Arabidopsis thaliana: one gene and its partner. The protein of the gene in region 1 interacts with the protein of each later gene in a pairwise test. Each region holds a gene or a part of one and is shown in the gene's direction. Other genes may lie near its edges. The genes, in order: FBA8 and AT1G65000.

What was found.
Region 2: the proteins of FBA8 (region 1) and AT1G65000 interact in a two-hybrid assay, tested with the Arabidopsis thaliana proteins (one large-scale study listed by BioGRID).

Annotation. Positions count from the first base shown.
Region 1 is NC_003074.8:19,622,811-19,635,206, reverse strand, and holds FBA8 (Aldolase superfamily protein), read left to right. Parts: upstream 1-6,002; 5' UTR 6,003-6,332; coding exon 6,333-6,360; intron 6,361-6,682; coding exon 6,683-6,910; intron 6,911-7,003; coding exon 7,004-7,824; 3' UTR 7,825-8,459; downstream 8,460-12,396. Other genes in the region: AT3G52950 (CBS / octicosapeptide/Phox/Bemp1 (PB1) domains-containing protein), read right to left, coding at 1-341; AT3G52941 (Putative membrane lipoprotein), read left to right, coding at 1,734-1,877; FK (Ergosterol biosynthesis ERG4/ERG24 family), read left to right, coding at 2,095-2,142, 2,240-2,357, 2,449-2,519, 2,632-2,688, 2,799-2,890, 3,231-3,278, 3,426-3,546, 3,634-3,680 and 5 more; AT3G52920 (transcriptional activator (DUF662)), read right to left, coding at 9,226-9,348, 9,469-9,549, 9,782-9,892, 10,379-10,606.
Region 2 is NC_003070.9:24,141,164-24,152,967, forward strand, and holds AT1G65000 (F-box only protein), read left to right. Parts: upstream 1-5,761; 5' UTR 5,762-5,992; coding exon 5,993-6,123; intron 6,124-7,089; coding exon 7,090-7,210; 3' UTR 7,211-7,638; downstream 7,639-11,804. Other genes in the region: GTG1 (GPCR-type G protein 1), read right to left, coding at 274-360, 474-500, 612-704, 875-963, 1,573-1,651, 2,160-2,289, 2,758-2,878, 3,399-3,506 and 2 more; AT1G65010 (WEB family protein (DUF827)), read left to right, coding at 8,380-8,396, 8,741-8,936, 9,037-11,804.

The DNA of each region.
Region 1 (12,396 bases):
ACATCTTTATCAGTAACAATCCCGGAAAGAAGCGCACTTGAATCAGTCAACAAACAAGCATCAACACGCCTAGCAGCCATTCTTCGACAAGCATCGAAAACAGTAGTTCCTTCAGGAATAGTAAGAGCTTTCGATAACCTAAGCTTCTTCACTGTTCTCTCTCCATTAGAAGGAGCTTGAGATTGAGGTTGAGGAGGAGGTGAATTGGGTTTTGAGGTGTTCCCATTAACACTTCCATTCTCTGATTGTACTGGTTTCTTAGAAGGTGGTGGTCCTCGCCGTACAGTAGAATTGCTTCTCCTCCCTGATGTTGAAGAAGGACCCGTCGCTTGAGTACTCATATTCGGTCAATCTAGGGTTTACTTAGATCCTAAATCCGTCAAAAATGATTCCTTTAGATATCAAACTCGTCTCTGCAAATGAAAAATTCAACCTTTAATTCAAAAACTATTGAAATTTCATCTAAAGCACGAATCTGAATAAAACCCAATTCACAATAAAGACGATTTGCTCTGAGAATACGATGCAACATACACGAAAAGGATTCGAATTTAACGGACGAGGGAAATGAAACAACTTGAAACCCTAAGGATTTGAGCAGAAGTTATGTGGGAAGATTGGGAATTTAGGGTTTACCTTCTTCTTTCTTCTTCAAGGTCTCTCTCTCGAGCACTTTTGTTGCCAAAAAACAAACGGCTCTTAACAATTGAGTTAAGCCATTTATCGAGTTTTCATTGGTTGTTCCTGTTTCCGCGTGTGTGGTGGTTCGCCACCTCCTTTCTTATAATCGACGACTAAAAATGTTAAATATAATACTAATATTTCTTTCTATAAAATTCGTAAAAGCAAAAATGTTTTTTTTTTTTCTGATAAATGTCTATAAATCACCCTTTCTTTTTAAACAATGAAATTTGATGACATTTCTCTCTTGTATCTAGAAGAGTTAATGGCTAACATAAATACAAAATTTTTTTAATTCAAATAAATATGATTTGTGTGGGTTACATGGAAAAATTGTCAAATAATAAAGCAAAAAAAAATTGTATAGATGCAGTGCAAGTTGTTTCTGGTCAACTTGCCGTCGAGCCTCACAACTGTTTGTTACAAGTGGACTCGCATGTAATTCCCTCTTTTAATAACTTACCAGTTACACCATCCAACATGTGATTTGACAGAAAAATATTTTAGTGAAATGTGATCGGTGCAGATTTTTCTATGTACGTTTAAGCCTTTAAGGTAGACGTTTAATGCAAAAATATCCGTGGAAATAACAACACCGATTAATGGAACCAAGTAGATACCTCCTCCGTTTGGATGGCTCAAATGCAACCATGATGCAAGCTTTTGCGATCGACCAAAGTGAGAGAACTAGATCGAGATGGATTATTCGGAACCATTACGGCACCCTTATGTAATGGCAGCATCTTAATAGTAAACAAAAGCTTTAGCCTAAGGTTTTAGCTTCCTTCACTCTTTGCATACATTGTGAATCTGCGGTTTTAGATGGACCATAGTGGAAAAAGGCTTTCATCAATAACTCGTGGACTTGATCAATGGTAGAAAAGAGAACACATAGATGGAAAACTAGATATTTGATATATCCATCTTTGGTTCAAACTCTTATCCAGTGTTGAGGTGATATACACATGAAGACATAACAATCGCATTGCCGAGAAACTAGTATTCATTAACCTTTTTCTCTAAAGACATTGTCCTATCAATCTAAAATTTAGATGTTAAAAAAGAAACCCAAAAGATGTAGCTATCTTAAAATGACAGTCGTTTGCGAGACTGGCCAGGCCATCCCATGGGCCATAGGCTCAAGTTGTGCTTGGCAGAATTTAGTGATTGGTTTTTTTTGTATAAACAATCATTAGTTTAAGGCTTTACTTGCAACAAATGAAGAGTTTAAGGGTTCTTTTTGGTAATTTTCCCGAATCACACAAGTGAGCTAGCTCATCAGAGTCCACGAGCTTCCCACTAAAAAATTGAAAATTGTTGCTTCTGTCATCTGAAATTAAACAAAGCGAGAAAAGGCGATACAAACGATTTCGAATGCTTCATCTTCTCCTTTGAAAATCCTTCTTCTGCTTAATGCTGCTAGATATGGATCTCGGTGTTCTTCTTCCATCATTGCAATCTGTGAGCTGTCTCTTTAGCTTTTGACTGTTGCAATTGTTATTGTGAAATTTTTGTTCGCTTTTGATCAGCTTTTGTTAAATTCGTTCCGAGATTTTAGGTTTATGTGCTGGTGTTTTACTTCGTTTACTTGGCCGTTGCCGGAGAAATTCTCCCCGGGAAAGTTATTCGCGGCGTCCTTTTATCAGATGGCTCTCAACTTCGTTACCGATGCAATGGTATATTTGATTTGATTTACTCTCTCTACAATTCCTGAGAGTCTGTGAGCTCGAAAGTTCATTTCCATTAGTTTTGTTAATTCAATTTCAGGTCTATTGGCACTAATATTGTTGGTAGCTATTTTGGGAATCTGTGCAAAACTTGGCATTGTATCACCTCTTGTAAGTGTAGTTACAAGATTTCGATTGTATTTCTATGAATCCGAATGCTATATGCTATATGAATCCGATTGCAATTGCTTTCTCACACTCATTCCACTGAGATGTTTTGTAGGTGGTTGCGGATAGAGGACTTGAGTTACTCTCAGCTACTTTTATTTTCTGTGTTTTGGTAAGATGATTCAATCCTTAGTCCGGTGTCTTGATTTTAGTTGTGTTACCATCAGATTTGCTTTTGGTGGTGTGATTTGTAATCTCCATGATATCTCTTAATATTCTCAGGTGACATTAGCATTGTATGTTACTGGGCGAAGTTCCTCGAATAAGGGTTCTTCCCTAAAGCCTCATGTCTCAGGAAATCTTGTACATGACTGGTACTAACATAATACAATTGTAGATCTGATACTTTCTTGTTACACAAAATGTTGTTAAAAGTTATATATTTTGACTCCTGCAAGAGCAAAACTAAGAAATAATCTGGTACTATATAGAGTTTGAAACACTGAATTGGACAAGATGATTCTATAGAACTTCGTAGAGTGTTGAGTAATTTCTCCTAGAACGGTTGTAGCTTCCTCTTTTTTCCTTTTAACCGCAGTGACTTTAGCTTTTGAACTTTTCTACTGAAACTAGAAGTTCTGGTTTTTGTCTTTCACTTATCTCTTCCAAACAACTGCTTCAATTTTTTCTCATATTGTTTGTTTCATGTGATAGGTGGTTTGGAATACAGCTGAATCCTCAGTTTATGAGCATTGATCTCAAGTAATCCATTTTTCTGTTTTTTCTTCTATTTGTCAGCCAAGGCTACATCATTGCTTCAGTTTGCTCCGTACTCAATCGAGTGGCAGTTTAATAATGTAATCAGCAGTTATGCATGGTTATGATGAATGGGAGTTATTCCTTGTGTAGGTTTTTCTTTGTCAGAGCCGGGATGATGGGATGGCTGCTTATCAATCTCTCTATTCTGGCAAAAAGTGTGCAGGATGGTTCCTTGAGTCAGTCGATGATTCTTTACCAGATCTTCTGTGCGGTAAATTTGGTTTTTACTTACAAATCTTGCTTCTTGAAGTTATGATCATCTGTGTTTTGTTAGTTTTGATTAGTTTTATAATTGCAGTTATATATATTGGACTACTTTGTTCATGAAGAATACATGACCTCTACGTAAGTTCATGGCGTGTTAAGGAAACACATTTGTCTTACCAAAAAATGACCATTTGCATTATTACATCTACTTTGATTTTACTCTTTTCAGGTGGGACATAATTGCAGAGAGACTAGGCTTCATGCTAGTGTTTGGAGATCTCCTGTGGATTCCTTTCACTTTTAGCATTCAGGCATGTAACTGTGAGCCTGAACACAAACAAGATATTAATTTATCTTATTGACAGTATCTTCTTGGCATGTTACAGTTATTCTCGGAAACAATATTGTTCTAGAATGCTTGATCACTCTGTGACTGAATTGTCTTCTCTCTGGTACAGGGCTGGTGGCTTTTGCACAACAAAGTAGAACTAACAGTTCCTGCGATTGTAGTCAATTGCCTTGTCTTCTTGATAGGGTAAGTTCTGAGACATTGGGTTATTTTCCATTCTTACATATCTACACTAAGAAACCCACTATTTCTTCTTTGGCAGGTACATGGTTTTTCGAGGAGCTAACAAACAAAAACATATCTTTAAGAAGAACCCAAAAACACCAATATGGGGCAAGCCTCCAGTGGTAGTTGGTGGAAAGTTACTGGTTTCAGGCTATTGGTATGTTATATTTATCTTCTCTTGTTTCTTTGCTTGGTTTCGCCATCTCTGTGTTTGATTGTTCATCATGCTGGGAATAAAGAGTTGAAAGTTCCGCAATGACACATTTCCGATAACTTAGGTGCTGTTTTGTATATATGACAGGGGAATTGCAAGGCACTGTAATTACCTTGGCGACTTGATGCTTGCTCTGTCCTTCAGTTTGCCATGTGGAATAAGGTAACTTCTTCTGCTTGAGTTCATCTTACAGCTACCAAAAGTCATGTAGAAACTAATACCAATATCAAAACGTTCGAAGTTGATTTGGCTGACTTAAAGATATTGATCTCTAACCATCATTTGAAAAGTCTAAAGCTTTCAAGTTCATTTCCCAAAGCTGTTTTTATGATATTTTGTCTTGTGTATTCTCAGTTCTCCGGTTCCATATTTCTACCCGATATACCTTCTGATACTATTGATATGGAGAGAACGAAGAGACGAGGTTCGATGTGCAGAGAAGTACAAGGAGATATGGGCAGAGTATCTTAGACTTGTCCCCTGGAGAATACTTCCTTATGTTTATTAGATGTGCCAAGAGCCAAGTCATGAATCCTTTCAGATTCATCCTCTTGTGTCTTATTTTTTCATAATCTTGTTTTATTTTAGCAATGCTCGAGTGAAACTTTGTAGTACACGTTTGAGAATAACTTCAGTCCTTATTATTATTTTAGCATTGATATCAGCATTTTCGGATTTTATTTTTTGGGTTGTTTAAAAACCAGAGATTTTACAAAAGACATTTGTTTGATGTAAAATGTCATGATAAAGTAATATTGTACTTATGTAAAACTGAGAAAAATACTAATAGAGGAACAGAGTGGTGTTGATAAATGATAATGCTGATGGATATGTTTATAGGAGAAAATGGAAAATTATCACAAAAATAGAAATTGACGATTACGAAGTTTCTAGATGTACCATCTTAATCGACTTGGAGACAATTTAAATGGACCATACACATCCGTGTTTCTATTTACATGTCAATATACATATATTCTTTGTCTTTTTAGTATATTTCCTTCTTTTCCCCTATTTTCTTTTTAAATATTGTATGTTCTATATCAGTTTCTTTCTTAAGATATTATGGCATATCGTAACAGTTGTTTCCATTTATAATCATATTTTATTTTTAGTATGTCATAGAGTTTTTTAAAATTTATTTATTTGTCAACGAGGTTTTATTAAAAAATTATATACACATATTAAAAAAATGTTGAAAATACGTGTAAAAATCTCATAATTTGTTATAATAATAAGATGTTTCATTTTATAATCACTTGAACCTAAAAGATAAGAAACAATAAAACCATTGAAGATCCTAAAAGACACCTTTAAAACTTCAAAATGTATACAACAACAATAGCAACAAAAAAGTTCTAGACTACATACATACTGTGTCGGTAGAAAGCAAAAGACTTTGATAGTTTTTGATTATTCATGCGTTTGAAGAGTCGCAGCTGTTTTCCGGTTATATGTCTCTATCTAAATCTAAGATCTTAATTTTCTATGTTCGGAGATATCAAAGTCGCACTTTTTCTGTGAATCTAGAAACACATAACATTTCCAATAAGAATATTCTATTGAGATTCGTAGTCAACTATTAAGTGTTTATTACGATTAAAAAACTACTATAATCAATGATTAATGTAATTTATTATCTTACGATCTCAATTATACAATTCGTCTGACGGTTTGGGCCGTCGTAAGGCCGAAGTCATGCTTTTCCTTAAATAACACTACGAGTTACCAAATTACCCCTCAGCTAATTTGCTGAGAATCCACGCTATTAAGGGGTAGAATTAAGATTAGCCAACATTGCCAATTAGAGATCCAACGGCTGAAAAAGCTATTTCTTGGGGAACATGCAAAGATCTGACCCTTAATTAATATTTTCACCAACCAATAGACTCTCATCCGCAGCTATAAAACCAACCCTTTTCCTCTACTGGTCCACCACTCGTCTGCCTTCTTCCGCATCTCTTTTCATTTCTCTCTGATTTCTCGATCTCTCCGTCCAACTATGTCTGCCTTCACAAGCAAATTCGCCGGTAAGATCTCGATCTCTATCTCTCTTAAGTTCTTTATTCATGTTTAGATTCGTGTATTGGATTCGATTCGTTATCCCGTGTTTTGATTCTTATTAGCGTGTTTAATCGTATAGATCTAGTTGATTCGTGAACTTAGCTTGGTTTCGAAAGCTGAAATGAATCAGTCGATGATTCCTATGTTAAAAACTAGCGTAGATCTAACTATGTTCTCATCGGTTTTAATACGGATCTAATTAGTATTCACGATCTGGAACTTTTTCTGTTGTTGTTCTCTTATGGTGATTGATTGATTTAAGTTTTTCCATTTTTGAAACCTATATAGATGAGTTGATCGCCAACGCTGCCTACATCGGCACACCTGGAAAAGGTATTTTGGCTGCTGATGAGTCCACTGGTACCATTGGAAAGCGTCTTGCGAGCATCAACGTCGAGAACGTTGAGACCAACAGACGTAACCTCCGTGAGCTTCTCTTCACCGCCCCTGGTGCTCTTCCATGCCTCAGTGGTGTCATCCTTTTCGAAGAGACTCTGTACCAAAAGAGTTCCGATGGTATGAACTTGATCAATACTATTACTTAATGTTTTACTCTGTAATGTGGTTTTGTGATTGTTTTTTATTGATGATGATGTTTTCTTTGTACAGGTAAGCTTTTCGTTGATATCTTGAAGGAAGGAGGAGTTCTTCCCGGTATCAAGGTTGACAAGGGTACCGTTGAGCTAGCTGGAACCGACGGTGAGACCACCACTCAAGGTCTTGACGGTCTCGGTGACAGATGCAAGAAGTACTACGAAGCTGGTGCTCGTTTCGCCAAGTGGCGTGCAGTCCTCAAGATCGGAGAGAACGAGCCATCTGAGCATTCCATTCATGAGAACGCTTACGGATTAGCTAGATACGCTGTTATCTGCCAAGAGAACGGTCTTGTACCAATTGTCGAGCCTGAGATCCTAGTCGATGGATCCCATGACATCCAGAAGTGTGCTGCCGTGACTGAGCGTGTCCTTGCAGCTTGCTACAAGGCTCTTAGCGACCACCACGTCTTGCTCGAGGGTACACTCTTGAAGCCTAACATGGTTACTCCCGGATCTGACAGCCCCAAGGTTTCACCTGAAGTCATCGCTGAGCACACCGTCCGTGCCCTTCAGAGAACCGTCCCAGCAGCTGTTCCAGCCATTGTCTTCTTATCTGGAGGACAGAGCGAGGAAGAAGCTACCAGGAACTTGAACGCCATGAACCAGTTGAAGACCAAGAAGCCATGGTCATTGTCTTTCTCATTCGGACGTGCGTTGCAGCAGTCTACCTTGAAGACATGGGCAGGTAAAGAGGAGAATGTCAAGGCAGCTCAAGAGGCGTTGTATGTGAGGTGCAAGGCTAACTCTGAAGCCACACTCGGAACCTACAAGGGTGACGCTAAGCTTGGTGATGGAGCAGCTGAGAGCCTTCACGTGAAGGATTACAAGTACTGAGCATCGTCCACGGGTTGAATTGTGACGTTTGTCATCTTCCTGGATATATTTCTAGGGATTTTTCGTTTTTCTACTTGACATTATCGGATTATAAGTGTTTTTTCTTCATTTTCCTTTTGGATTTGTGTTTTGATTTTGATTGGGTTTTGTTTTTTAGAATTGAGTATTTTAAAAACACGCCCAAATAAAAAAGTCATTTGAGGTTATTTCTGTTGAACCTCTTGTGGAATTTGAAAATCAGTTTCTGTTGATTTACCGCTTCTTGAGCCTAAATTATTGTATTTGGTTCTCTGATTCGTATATGAAATCTCGTCTTTTAAACACATAAAAATCTGTCTATGAAGAGTATGAACCAAGCGTTCCTGTTTCATTTTTTCAACAATATGACTAGTATGTGAGAGCATAATTGCTATATGAGGCTACAACCATAAGCTGAAAGGAGCCTCGAACAAGATTCAGAAACATAGGAAAGTTATACACTTTCTCAATTAATTTGCAGACACAAGAATATGAACAAGACTGTAGTGTGTTTTCATTGTCTTCAAAAGCATTCCAAAAGCCAGCTTATTGCCAAATGCTGTAATGAGAATACACAGCTAATTTATGATATTCTGTTTATGTGTAAGATGGGCCTCAAAGGGCCTACTGTATGAAAGTATACTAAATTGGTTCTCCACTGAATATCATAAATAAAAAAGCATTTGCTTTCCAGATCATGTCTACCAAATAGTTTGTAGATTAGCACATTGCTGTGTTTTGTACGATCGAATATTTCTATCTTACCAGCTCGATTGAATAATTTAGTGTAATTCAAAGAATAAGGAATTTGCTAGATTAGGAAAACAATATTTGGAAAATGGGAATACTTGAAGATCTTACAACCAAATATCATATCTTTCCCATTTTGTTAAGTGTTTTTCTTTCCATTTTACTAAAATATCATTTTACATTTTTGTCTTTGAAAACAATAATTGGAATTTATCGAGTCTATTGTGTGGGTCAAGGTCATGATTTACTTTGACAAGAAGAAGTCGTTTCAATTTCAAAACACCCACCACACACGCTCGACGGCGAGAGGCTACTTTCTCAAAAAGCTAAACATAATTTGGGGGGGAAAAGAAATTAAAATAAAGCTAAACAATATAACAAATAAAATAATATTAGAAAAAACAAAGCAAGAAAAAAATTCAAACTTACAAACCCTTTTAGCATTCAGTAGCCTAAGCAGAAGAAGCATTATCCCATTTCCCTTCCCTAACAATAATGGTTAATCAAAAACACGAAAAACCCCATCATAATTTTACAAATCAACCCACAAATCATAGCAAAAGAAAACTAAAACACCCAGAAACTAAGAAAACATTCCAAAACGTAAAAATAAAATAGAAAAAATACACCAAATTAGTTCTTGATTGGTATGGTCTTGTCTTGTGAGATAGATTCACTCTCTGTGTCTATGCTCCTGCTTAGCTCATCCAGCTTCTTCAACCTCAGCTTCTCGCTTTCTCCAACCAACTGTCCCATCTCCCCAGGGAGAATATTAAGCAAACATAAAACAAATCAATACAGTTATTAATAAGCGCGGTAAAACTCGGATTTGTTCTCATTGTTCAGCAAAACTATAACCAACAACTCGAAACTAACCTCCATTAGCTTGGTGATCAGCTGAACTTTCTCACGATTCTTCTCGTTGAACGTATCCAATGCTTCTTTGTATTCCCTTTCCTGTTGTCATATCATCACATAAAACAAAAACATGAGTTTCAGGTTTTGTTCATTGAAAAACAAATCTTTAAAGTTGACTAATGCGATATCAAATCTTTTAGTCAACACCATAACAACCACAAATCGATTCAGTTGACATTTAGGTTTGAGTTTTGGGTTTGGTAAAGAGCAAAACTTTTCATAGCAACAGGTAGTGAGAATGAAGCAACTGCTCTTTGACAAGTGTACTTACCTTCTTTTGAACAGTAGAGCCTAATGGTTTGAGTTCTTTGTTGACGCTATCAATCTTCTTACGCACCCAATTAACTTCCTTCCTCATGGGATCTGCCATTGTCTCAAGCTCCTGAAACAAAAACATGATAATTTCTACAAAGTTAAACACCTTCCTGATAACAGAACTTGTAAACCCAACTACAAGAAGCACAAGTTCATGTCCAAATCCTAGCTTTCACATATCAATAGACTTACAAAACCCATTTACTCAAAACACAAATTTTTGTTCTTTGTTCACCAAATTGAGTACATGCAAAATCATATGCTTACAAAGCTAAACCATTTCTGTATAAATCATTCACAAATCATCAAATTTCTTAAAAAGGACAAAAAAATCCCATTTTCCCTATCCCCTGAGTCCAAATCTACAATTTCACATCTTTCAAAACCCTAATATTCTAAAACCACATAAACAGTATCAAAATTCAATTCAGAAAAAAGACAAACACACAGAAAGTAGTCAACTTGCATGAGTGTAATTTTCAGACCAAGCTCAAAACAAAATCTCTCAGATCTTAAAGTTTTGGACTTTAAAAAGCAAAAAATGAAAACAAACCTCGCGGATACTAGCAAGACGACGAGTCTCTTCCTCAACACGACCAAGCTGAGCCTTAACCCTTTCACGAACTTCCATTTTCCTCTTCTCAATCTCATCTTCTTTAGCCCTAAAAGCAGAGAGAGCAGAACGAGCCATCTCTTCGTCTTCTTTAGACATCTGACTACTAAAACTCAAGCTCATCATCTGCTGAGGAGGCTGTGTAGTAGCTTCATTCGTTGTTGTCATCTTCGGTTTCAATTCGTCCTTGTTCTTGTTTTGGTTAGTGTAGGTGTTCTTTTTCTTCCTCAAGCCGCAACAAGAACGCGACTGATGCAATTCCTCAGTGGAATTCCGGTGGGGTTCTTCGATTAACCCTATTTTTACTGACTTGGGATTGAATCTAAGCTTAAAGCTTTGGTTTTTAATGGAGTGGGTTTGTTTCTCTCTGTATGTGTGGTAATGGTTTCTTCTCTCTGTCCTCTTCTTCTCACTCTTTTATATTTTGTTTGCTTTCTCACTCTCTTTTCTGTTTTTGGGTTTATTATTTAATGGTTTGTTTTACGTATCCGTTAAGTTCGTATAATATTTCTCAAAACAATACACTTTTAATTACGTGTCGTCTAGAGATTGTTTTTCTCTTTTTATATACAACAAAATACAAAAAAAAATGTTTGGTTCAAATTATTAGCCTTGATCTAATCCTATATATTTGGGGGTTTGTTTGGATATATATGCGAATGATAATTGATACGAGGAATTTTTGAATGTGAATCCTTGGTTTGGATGCGAATATTCAAGGAGGTTTTGATTTTTTAACATATTTGAAAAAGGGTATTTTATGATTTAATTTGATGTTTTATTAGTTGCTTAGTAGTAGTTACAAATATTTAGGTTTAACTTTGTATATTTTAATACTTAAACAAAGGAGATTGAAAAAAAGGTTCTTTAATATTTAGGTTTAACTTTTTCTCGTCGATTTCTTTTTAATAATATGAAAGATTCTAATTAATTTCTAAGTATTGATTTTTGTCGTCTGGTCTTTTGACATTAATACGGTAACGGTCAATTTCAGGACTCATTTAATGGTTCTTTTGAACGTGAATCATTCAATTGTAGATGCAAATTTTGGTGTTTTCTAAAGTATTTTCATTTGGAAGTTTTTGGCTTGCCACTTGGCGTTTTTCTCGAATTTTAAATGAATCCAATATCCATCTTTCAAAAAAAGATGACGGCTGTAAAGTAAAAGCCAAATGTGTAGATACTTTATAGTTTTTAGTATACTAATGATACTATCAAGACTAATTTACAGCTTCATCATAACAATAATAATGCGATGACAGAATGTAATCATAAATAAACAATTAGTTAACGAGATAATGTATAATGATTTATGTTAGTGTTGTCACAATGTGCCAATCTAACTCTGGTCTAGTTTTAAGGATCGGATTCACCGTTCAGGCTTCTTCAATTATCATCATATAACACACTAGGTTTTAACTCGCGGTACACCGTACACCGCAGAACTATTTTGTTCTTTTAAGAATAAAAATATAATTTGTTTAGTCGATTAAAAATATATATGATTTAATATTTTGTATTTTCTGAATGTACAACTCTTATATCTGTATATTATTTAGTATACAATTACTATGTTTAACTTTTACTGTTTAAAATATAAGAACAATAACGTACAGTTCATTAAGTTAAAATCTAGATTATAACTAAATAATTTAAAATTTAATTATATTTTTATTTTATAATTGTTTTGTTTAGTATTTAAGATAATATAATTATATTTTGATTGTTATATCTACGACTTCACACGTGGTATACCGTTTCATATTACTATCGACTCAAACCCGTCCTACCATCTAATCCCGTTCCGTGAAACTAAACATATCTAATGGATTTCACCCGTGCTATACCGTCTCGTATTACTGTCGACCCAAACCCGTCCTATCATCTAACCCCGTCTAGTGAAATTAAACATTTTGTTTTTGTTATTTTTGTTTAAATAATACTTTAATTTAAAAGAT
Region 2 (11,804 bases), on another chromosome or scaffold:
GCAGAAAAGTTGAGAGAATTCAGCATATGTTTTACTTTATAATGATAAATAGTTTGGAATATAACTAGGCCCTAGGACAGCTCTGATCTCTTTAACCATCTAACTTTCCATCCCATCAAAGGCTTAGAGATAGTGACTTAATATTGAAGAAATAAATGCTTTAGGCTTTCAAGTCTAGAAATACTTTCAAGTCTAGAAGAAAAAACGTCCAGATTGGATTTCTTTAGCTTAATTACTCTATCATTAGAGATAGCAACGTAAGGTAACGCAAACCTGTGAGAGGAGTGCAGCATCTACTCCTATATCAAACAACCGCAAGAATATGCTGATCATCGTCGTGACAGGATCTTTTGTACCGGCCTGTAAACAAGCTGATTACTAACAATTTCAAGTAGTAAGAGGTGCACATATAACCCATTAAAGAACGGTAGTGATACATAAGTTAACAAAAAAAAAATAGCGCATGTGGGTACCTCTTTGAAGACAACACTTTGAAGAGACTGCAAAAATAGAGCACAAAAAAAAGGAGAACAAGAGTTACTCATGTTCAAAACGACAATAGTGAGAAGACTTTTAAGCTAGATCATCATTAGAAGGATAAAAAAACTTACCTTCAACATTTTATACACACAATAAATGGAACATGCATAACCAAGTAAGTTCTGCACATGACCCTTCCAAGTTCTAGAATAAGCAGCAGCATCCTGCAAATGGGATGAAGTCATAGCAAATGCTTTTAAAATATTACAACCAAAGAAGATAGTCAGAAGCACTAATCTCAACAATAGAAAATTCAACCAAAGTACGATGTCACCACCAAGTCAATGAGTAGAATTCTTTAGTGAATCAAAAACCAAGGCAGCTGAAAGCTAACCTTTGCTTGACGCAGCTCATATACTTCCAAAAATAACTGTTTTGACAGCTCCTCTAAGGCTTCCACCTCCGCTTCCAATATTTTTATGTCTTCTCAAGGAAAAATTATCAATTAATTGGAGGGACATCACCAGACGATCTATTCATAAAATGACTAATCTCTCACCATGTACACTTGAAAACATTTAACAAACTGAATTATCCAATGCTAAAAGTTCATTTTCGCAAAAAGTGCTAAGGTACTATTCAATAAAAAATACTAATTCTAACAAACAAGGAAAAAATTGATCTCAAGTTGGTCTACGTGAATAAATATGTACAAGATTCATGGTCAACTAAACATATTTATGGACAAAAATAGACGTAAGCCTTCCCCTGTAGTAAGCATCAACATTACTTTTTTGGTTTAGACAGTAATTTTCCCTTTTGTTGTTGTAGTTGTTCTAGTTACTAACAGCACCATCAAGACACAGAACACATGCACAAATAAAGCATATTAACAAAATTTCTTGTTCAACTACCGCTGACGAGGCTCATTCTCCTCAAGCCAAAGCCACTTATGAATTATGATTAATGATAAACAATTTTCACATTGTCTCAAAGTAAAGCATTCAGAGTATACTCATTTCAGTTTTACACCAAAAAAAATAAAAATTGTGGAATACAACTACAAATAAAATCAAGAACACATAAACTGACCTTGTTCCTTTTGGTCATCTTGAACCGACCGCACAACAGTCCCAACAATTCTTCTGAAGAAAGAGCTACGTTTCTGATTCTGGGAGAAAAAAAGCATCAGATTATTAGCTCCCAAAATCATCACTGAAAATATGGCATATTGTTTAACTAAAAACTATTAGACAGAAGTTTGAGATAACAGCAATGAAAATAAGAACTCAGGTACCCACTCAGAAAAGGACGTGCAGCTGAGCAAGGAACCAAGACCATGGATTGTTTGCTCGAGACCGACAATAATCTCTCCGGTCTTAAATAAATTATCCATAGTTTTGGTTCCATTTACAGCATCATTATTTTATCAGTCTAATGTAAATATATAAATAAATAAATAAATAAATAAATTCTTTTTTTCTGGTTGTTTACTAATGCGAAGAAAAGTGTCAGGATACAGTCAGTTCAGAGACTTCAGAGTACAATGAGCAGTTTGACACATAAGTATGAAATAGTCTTTGTTCAAAGGCTTTTATAAGAACTATGACACAAGAACAGAAACATAAAGAATATGAGATTAGACAATACAATCATATGAGGATAAAACGAAAACAAACCTCTTCTGATCCTTGATTTCGTTCCACCTCCAATTGACACAAAATAATTTTCTTCTTCTTTGCTATGCACGTCTCAGTTGACTGAATCAGTTGCCTTTCCAAAGATATTATATCTGCTTCTTCAATCTCCCTATATGAGAGAGGAACAAAAGTGCTGTTAGAAAGAAATATCTTTTATATAAACCTGCCAATCCAGTCAAAACCCAATATGTAAATCACAGAAATGACAAGCTTCTGGAAATAGCTTATAAAAATATCCCAACTGAACATCCAGCACCATTTGTTTCATTCAAGTTCAAAATGTGGAATATAAGTTCCTATTTTGTGGAGTTTCTTAGCATATTTGTCGCATTAAATCTGCATTTTTTCTTTCCTAAGCTTTCTTCTTTCATTCTACATTTTTATGCTTTCTCTCCGAAGGACATGCAGGTGGCACTATATATATTCAGTGCTAATTATGTATGCTTATCATGTAGCCCATTGAATGGTTCCCCTATAAGGAAACACTCTTATTGTTGGTTAAATATAAACTAGAAAAAGGAAATAATGAATAGAACACTATCTAGTAGCTTACGGAAATAGAGTTGAATATTAGTACCTAATGAAGAGGGATATATAGCTGTAGGGTAAATTTACAGCTCCAAATCCTGATAAGACAGCCATTAAGGTCACACCAATGACCCCAATTCTACTGACCAGCTGAGGCATGGTAAAAAACCCTTCAAAGAAATAGGAGCTTTAAGTCAACAACTTCAACAGACAATAAAATCCAAAAACCAAAACCCAGAAATGAGAATGCTTGGATGCAGAAGCTTGTGCTGATCAGAAGTAGACAAGAAAAGTATAAATAGTTAGTCATTTTGAGCTTTTTCTTTGAAGATATTTTTCAGCAAGGTAATGCTATACACTCTTATCAAGCTCTCATTATCGGTAATGCTATACACTCTTATCTAGCTCTCATTATCTTTCGTTGCAAACAACATCATACCCTCTAATCTAGATATTCAGTAGTCAGTATTATCAATATTGGTGCATATAACAATGGATAAATATGCCATATTCATCTATACAGAAATTAAATTAGGTGTAACACTGGTACCAAGCTTAGTTCTTAAAGTTTATAATTATCACTACTGCAAGGGATAAATGAACTTAGAAGAGGAAAATGAGTAGCAACTAGCAAGATAACGATGCGATGCTGGAAGGAAAGGAATGGTTACAGTAGTTTGAAATAAATACCTTTATCTGCTGAAGGCATAGGGAAATGAACTCCCATACGCCAGAATGCGTAAAGGAATGCTGACAAGAATAAGAAAGCCCCAACAGAGGCACGCTCCCTTCTTACACCTGAAATGTTATTTTAACTTGAAAAAATTACAGACAGTTCACACAAAATGCTGTAATATGCGGCAGCGAACAATAAAGTGATGCTTTCTCAAATTCATTTATCTCCATCTAATTGAACTCATGAGTGTTTATAAAAGAAGCAACAAAGCCAGAGATAAGGATCAAGATTTTTCAAGATATAAGATCAAAATGATGGGCCAAAGACTGTTTATACACAGCTGCACAGAAGTGTTCTCAAAGAAATCTCAGTTGAGTAGCAATTATATAACAAAAATAGTTTCAGGAGCTCCTAAGAAACTTGCAATGAATTAACCAATTATAGTGATTACCTTCTAAACAAGAAGTGATAAGAGCAAAGAAAATTCACATATGAAATAAGGCTTACCACTATTACGAAGCATCAAATAGCAATGGTAATACGGCAACATGAAAACCAGAAGAAGTATCAAACAAAAAAGATCCACCTTCCAGTTTATCATCCTTGCCCTGCAAAATCATCAAAAGATCGGTCCAAGGCTTAAAACTCTAAATTAATATTCCAACTAAACAATTGCTACATAATGCCATGAATTCCCCCTCCAATATAAGTATTACGTACAATGACAAACACCTCAAAAGCTCAATGATATAAGCATCTAGTATCAAGTATCAAATTTCCACATGACATAAAGGAATAAACAAGAGAAGCTAGCTACCACACAGTTTATATACTCGATTACATTACACATACACCAAAAAAATTGTCAAGTAAAAAAATTCTTAAGACAATAACTCCATCAATCTACACTCAATCTCAAAATCATTGCCAATTAGGTAAGAAGTCAACAAAATTAAGCAATTGCAAACAAAGGAGGACCAAGTAAGTAACACAATCTAGAAGACAACAAATAAGTAAAGTTTCCAAAAACCTCCAATGCCAGAAAACACCAAAACTAGCTAAATATCAAAAACTACAGAGTGGATTACTCGAGAAAAGACTTACTCTCTAGAGAGAACAGGTATGATCTCGAACAAAACGAGCTGCAATAGATTACAAGAGAAAGCGAAGACGACACTGAAAATGATTTGAACCAAAGCTCGTTTCTCTTCATACTCTTTGTATAATCTCCGATTAAGAAACCATAAACCTGCCCATCCTAAGAGACTTAGTGAAGCTATCACCACCGTGCCTTCGTATATCGCCCATCCGTAACTCATCGTCGCCAAATTCCAGATCTCTCTTACTTCTCGAGAAAAAACCTCAGATCTGCAAAAACCTCATGGCGATTCAACACCAGAGCTTCTGTTGTACGATTCGATTCGAATTTGATCATTTATGAAACAATTAAAAAAAAAGTATTTAAGAATACCTTATTTATTTTTGGTTAGGGTTTATTTGGTTTAAACTCTAATCAACAACAACCTCATCAACTTCATCATCACCACCACCACCATGCGACTCAACTCGAACTCGCAGAGAGGAAGGCGTTATTAAACGCTAACCAACCATTGAGCTACGGAGTAATGTGAAAGAAACTGCACAACAATAGTGTTTCTATCCTTTTTTTTTGTTTATAGGTTTTGGCGTCTAGTCTAGTGTTGATGATAATTTTAACTCCATTTTCCGACATGTTTTCTTATCTGGTCGATTGATTTTTTTGTTTTTCTTTCACTTTTACATATATACACGAAAAATGATCGATTCATTAAAATTGTTGTTTAGAAGGCTTGTCCAATCTTACACGTGTTACCATATATAAATTTGCGGGAAGTGGGAAGGGAAAGATCGGGATATCGATAGTTCATGATAAATCTTATAATTACGGGATCAAGATAAATATTTTTTTTATCATTAATAAAAAATTAATATTTGTGTACATTTTCTTATTGTTAGATAGAAAATTTAATATTATCATAAATGTAAAGAACTTGCTAATCAAGTTATGATTTTTGTATAAATAATCCTATTAGCTAATGAATAAATAGAGAAAACCTGTATTATTGCTAAAGTTTCCTCCAAACTTATCAGACACCAATCGATGATGTATAATATACCATTTTTCATAACGTGATTCTATTATTTTTACCATTCACAATATTTATCATACATTTATATTTGATTTTCATGTGTATGTTATATTTGATGCATGTGGAAAAAATAATTCAAAATTAAAAAAACTACAAAACGTTTTTCTTATTATATCACAATTATTTAACAAAAAAAAGTTTTGAGCTATTTTGTTTATAATGTTTTTATGCTTTTCAATCCTACATTTCACTATCAGAAAAATGAGGCCAAGTTATAAAAATAAAAATAAAAACTAAACCCAATAAGCCCATTAAGGCCCATAAGTCAATACAGCAAAAACAGCTCATCTTTGCTAAAACGTAGATTACTGATTTAATCTACCGGAATCGAAAGGCAATACCAAACTTCCGGTGAACCGGAATCGGATCCATTTGACTTGCCGTAGAAATTAGGAAATTGATTACAGTGTTCTTCGAGAATGGAGAAGAAGGAGATGGAGAAGTTGTGCCAAAGGTGCAAACAAAGCTACACAGATCTTTCAAACGAAACTTCCTCTTGCCGTTTTCATCCTTCCTTCTTCGTTTGTCGTCGTCACGATGACCAGAAAAGGTTATGTCTCCTACAAACCCTAAATCTATTCACTAATGAAGAATCTCACATCCCAAGCAGCTTGATTCGCTAATTTATAATGGCAAAGCACAAATTGTTGAGATGGGTTTTGAAAGCCATCCACTTTATTGTATTAAGGTTCTGGATCTATAGCTAATTTAGTTAGATACCTTAGATTCTTTGTAGCCAATAATTTTGAAGTGATAGATGATCATGATCTCAGTTTAATGGCTATTTGTGGGTCAAAGGTCATGTTTTGGTTGATTTGAAACTAGCTCTTAGCCTTCTTTGCAGATAATTAGCTACTGTTGTATTTGCCTTGCCCATTTCAAACTCTTTAGGCATAATCATGAAGCTGTTTAATGATTGTGGTCACTCTTAAACGTCGAATACTCTTAACCACTGAGGATAAAAAATTATCTCGACAAGTTTTCAAGCTGTCTAGTGGCCTACACTTTGTTCTGCTAGTTGAAAAAATGGTTTAGTCGACGGTTAATAGCATAAATAAAGAGTGGTGAAAAATACAGTTTAGAGATTTATCATCTGATTCTATGTTGCGTGTTTTATCTTGGTAATAAACTTTGGACTAGGAAGGAACGTAGGTGTCTCTGTTCCGTTATTGGCTCCTTTGGTTATTTACTTACTTCCTCTGTTTGTGATTCTCTCTGTTCCATGCATTGTAGTTACCCACATAGCATAGACTTAACTATCTTTTGTTGAGCTTTTATCGTTATGTGCAACGAATGAGTTTATTTTGGTGTTTATGGTTGTTGGTTTTGGCATTCATATTCTTGCTGGTACCTGATATTTGTTATTTCATTTTAATTTTAAGGTGTTTCGAAACTGAATATATATTTATTCCAAACCATGTTTAATCGACTTGAGTATGATGCATCTGTTTGATTTCTACTTTTTACTAAGAAGTGGAATTAACTAGAACTTGTTTTTTTTAATCAATAAATGAAGGTACTATGAATTGAAACCAGATGATCCACCGTATGCTGCCAAGTTCTATGATTGTTGCGGGGCAGAGGATCCTAATGCACCAGGTTGTGTCACAAACCCTCACATTTCATATGATGACTGATGTATGAGTGAGAGCTCTCATAAGCCTTTTTTTTTCCATAAAAACATCATGTAAATAATCTTAAATTATTGTAGCCTTCTTAGGAGTAAAAGACTTAGCTTGTGATCTCTCTGCTGGGTACTGTCTTGAACCACTTCTTGCATTGCACACAGCTACAGAGTGAGCTGTTGTGTTACAGCTTTTGTCGGTTTTGTGAATAGGAGTGTCAGAATCATTTGACGTGAGAAAATTCCGGAACGACTAACGATTTTATGTTTATTTGTAAGGAATGTTCTTGTTTCTATGGTTGCTTTAAAAAGAGTCAAAACTTTATATTCTTTTTATGAACACCAACAACAAAAATCTAAATCAGACATATAGGTTAATTAACTAATGCAAGTAAATGTGGAAAAATTTACAAAACAAATTTCAGAAGATCTAGAAGTAATCTTGAGACAGTACTTATGAGAAATAATCTTGCACTATCATCCCTCTTTTCTATGAACACCAAGATTTCTGATGCACTTATAATTTCTTATTTTGTGTCAACAATAGATATCCAAACAAAGGTAGAGAAAACATTTGAATGTGGACAAATTATAATTATATTAATAAATTGACTGTCTTTAAAGTTTAAACTAAGTTTAGCAGATCTCATTAAGAGAAAAAAAAAATCAACATGATTGAGTAGAGCACATGAAGTCCACATGACACAACTCCAAGATCTCAAACTCTCTGGTCTTAAATCAGATCGTTAGAGAGATTTATTCTCACCTCCATTATTAAATAAAGCCAACTTGTTTTGGTCCACTTCACTCACAGCTTTTATTATTCTTCTTTTTTCTTTTGTCATCATAATATATTACTCCCCAAAAAAAAAAAAAGCAAAAGCGGTGAGAAAGAAAGGAGAGAGAGAGGGTGACCACTATGGAGACAGCGCAACCCATTACTCATTATTAGTCTCTCCTACCATTCTTTTGCCTAAAGTTCAAGACTTTGTGTTCTTCTAACAAGACCCTTAATCGTAAGTTCAAGACTTTGTGCTGTTGTAGTCCTGTAAGAAGAAGAAGAAGAAGACCATGAAATCGATCTGACTTCTCGCAGCAATGCTGAGGATTTAGCTGCATTTATTACTCTTTTTTTGTCAATTCAATTTCTCTTTTCTTTGAAGCTCTTCTCTTGCAACAACAATGGCATCTAGAACCAAGTGAGTACTTTTAGTCTTTCTTCTACTTTCATTACAAGTGGATCTGATATGATTCTTGATTTTGACAGTTGGATCTGTTTCTTGTGATGAATTGTTGAGTTGATCATTTTAATCCTAATTTGATTGGAATGTAGTTGATTTAGTCTAGTAAATGTAACTGAATTGATTTGAGTCTAGTAAATGTTTTGACTTTTGGGAACTTAGTTGATTTAGTCAGGTGAAAAGTTATGATTTTTAGCAACTTAATTACTCTTGTTTTGGTAAAATAATGTTAGATCCACAAATTTAAAACTTTTTTTTATTGATGTTTAGTGTAACATTGTCTTGATTCATGTTTACTGTAGAACTGGTTTGATGGAGACTCCTCGTAGTAAACCATCACCACCACCTCCTAGACTGAGTAAACTCTCTGCTTCTAAATCCGATAGCAATTCGGCTTCCCCGGTGCCAAATACTCGTCTTTCGCTTGACCGTTCTCCTCCAACCGTTAACTCAAAGCCTACTCCTGACCGTCGACCTTCTAGGATTCCTACACCCGAGGCAAGATACTGAACTCTCTCCAACTGATATATGAATCTTTTTTTGGTTTTCATTAGCTTTAAAAGACATTGATGATGACCATATTCTTTGACATTTTCAGAAAGTGCATTCGCGGTTGGTAAAAGGAACGGAGCTGCAGACACAACTGAATCAAATTCAGGAGGATTTAAAGAAAGCTGATGAGCAAATAGAATTGCTCAAGAAAGATAAAGCTAAAGCTATAGATGATCTTAAAGAATCCGAAAAACTTGTTGAAGAAGCCAATGAGAAACTTAAAGAAGCATTGGCAGCACAGAAACGAGCTGAGGAGAGTTTCGAGGTTGAGAAATTCCGAGCTGTTGAACTGGAACAGGCTGGACTTGAAGCTGTTCAGAAAAAGGACGTAACTTCAAAGAACGAGCTAGAGTCTATTAGAAGTCAGCATGCGTTGGATATCTCAGCTCTCCTCTCCACCACAGAAGAACTCCAGAGGGTAAAACATGAATTGTCTATGACCGCTGATGCTAAAAACAAGGCGCTTAGCCATGCTGAGGAAGCGACGAAGATTGCTGAAATTCATGCTGAGAAAGCTGAGATTCTTGCTTCTGAATTAGGGCGGTTAAAGGCATTGCTCGGTTCAAAGGAAGAAAAGGAAGCTATTGAAGGTAATGAGATAGTGTCTAAACTGAAGTCTGAGATTGAATTGTTGAGAGGGGAGCTTGAAAAAGTTAGTATCCTTGAGAGTAGTCTGAAAGAGCAAGAAGGATTAGTTGAACAGCTTAAAGTTGATCTTGAAGCTGCTAAAATGGCTGAATCTTGCACTAATAGCTCAGTAGAAGAATGGAAGAACAAGGTTCATGAACTTGAAAAAGAAGTTGAAGAATCAAATAGATCGAAGTCATCTGCTTCGGAGTCTATGGAATCAGTTATGAAACAGCTTGCTGAATTAAATCATGTGCTGCATGAGACAAAGTCAGATAATGCTGCACAAAAGGAAAAGATTGAGTTGCTAGAGAAAACAATCGAAGCACAGAGAACGGATCTTGAGGAATATGGACGCCAGGTTTGCATTGCAAAAGAAGAAGCTTCTAAGCTGGAAAATCTTGTTGAATCAATAAAATCTGAGCTTGAAATCTCCCAAGAGGAAAAAACTAGGGCCTTGGACAATGAAAAGGCTGCAACATCAAATATTCAGAATCTATTGGATCAAAGGACAGAACTTTCGATAGAGTTGGAACGATGTAAGGTGGAAGAAGAGAAGAGCAAGAAAGATATGGAGAGCTTGACGTTGGCTTTGCAGGAAGCTTCTACTGAATCAAGTGAAGCGAAGGCGACGTTGTTGGTATGTCAAGAGGAGCTCAAGAACTGTGAATCCCAGGTTGACAGTTTGAAGTTGGCTTCAAAGGAGACAAACGAAAAGTATGAGAAAATGCTTGAGGATGCTAGAAATGAAATAGATAGTCTAAAAAGTACTGTAGATAGTATCCAGAACGAGTTTGAGAACTCTAAGGCTGGGTGGGAACAGAAAGAACTTCATCTGATGGGTTGTGTGAAGAAATCAGAAGAAGAAAATTCGTCTTCGCAGGAAGAAGTAAGCAGGCTTGTGAATTTACTCAAAGAAAGCGAAGAAGATGCATGTGCGAGAAAGGAAGAAGAAGCCAGTCTTAAAAATAATCTCAAAGTAGCTGAGGGGGAGGTAAAGTATCTGCAGGAAACACTTGGAGAAGCAAAAGCTGAAAGCATGAAACTGAAAGAGAGCTTGTTGGACAAAGAAGAAGACCTAAAGAATGTCACGGCAGAAATCAGCAGCCTCAGAGAATGGGAAGGTTCTGTACTTGAGAAAATCGAGGAGTTGTCAAAGGTAAAGGAAAGCTTGGTTGATAAAGAAACCAAGCTGCAGAGCATTACTCAAGAAGCTGAGGAGCTGAAAGGAAGGGAGGCTGCTCATATGAAGCAGATTGAGGAGTTGTCAACGGCGAATGCAAGCTTGGTTGATGAAGCAACCAAATTACAGAGCATTGTTCAAGAAAGTGAAGATCTCAAAGAAAAGGAAGCTGGTTATCTTAAGAAGATTGAGGAGTTATCAGTAGCAAATGAGAGTCTGGCTGATAACGTAACGGATCTGCAAAGCATTGTTCAAGAAAGTAAGGATCTCAAAGAAAGGGAGGTTGCGTATCTTAAGAAGATCGAGGAGTTGTCAGTGGCAAATGAGAGCTTGGTTGATAAAGAGACCAAACTGCAGCACATTGATCAAGAGGCTGAGGAGCTCAGAGGAAGGGAGGCTTCTCATTTGAAGAAGATTGAAGAGTTGTCAAAGGAAAATGAGAACTTGGTTGATAATGTAGCCAATATGCAAAACATTGCTGAAGAAAGTAAGGATCTCAGAGAAAGGGAGGTTGCTTATCTTAAGAAGATTGACGAATTGTCAACGGCAAATGGGACCTTGGCTGATAACGTAACCAATCTGCAGAACATATCTGAAGAAAATAAGGAGCTCAGAGAAAGAGAGACTACATTACTTAAGAAGGCAGAGGAGTTGTCAGAATTGAATGAAAGCTTAGTCGATAAAGCGAGCAAATTGCAAACAGTTGTTCAGGAAAATGAGGAATTGAGAGAAAGAGAGACTGCTTATCTTAAAAAGATTGAGGAGTTGTCAAAGTTGCATGAAATCTTATCTGATCAAGAAACCAAACTCCAGATTTCTAATCATGAAAAAGAGGAGCTCAAAGAAAGGGAGACTGCTTATCTTAAGAAGATTGAGGAGTTGTCAAAGGTGCAAGAGGATCTTCTTAACAAAGAAAATGAGCTGCATGGTATGGTCGTGGAGATTGAGGACCTTAGATCCAAGGACTCTCTAGCCCAAAAGAAGATAGAAGAGTTATCAAATTT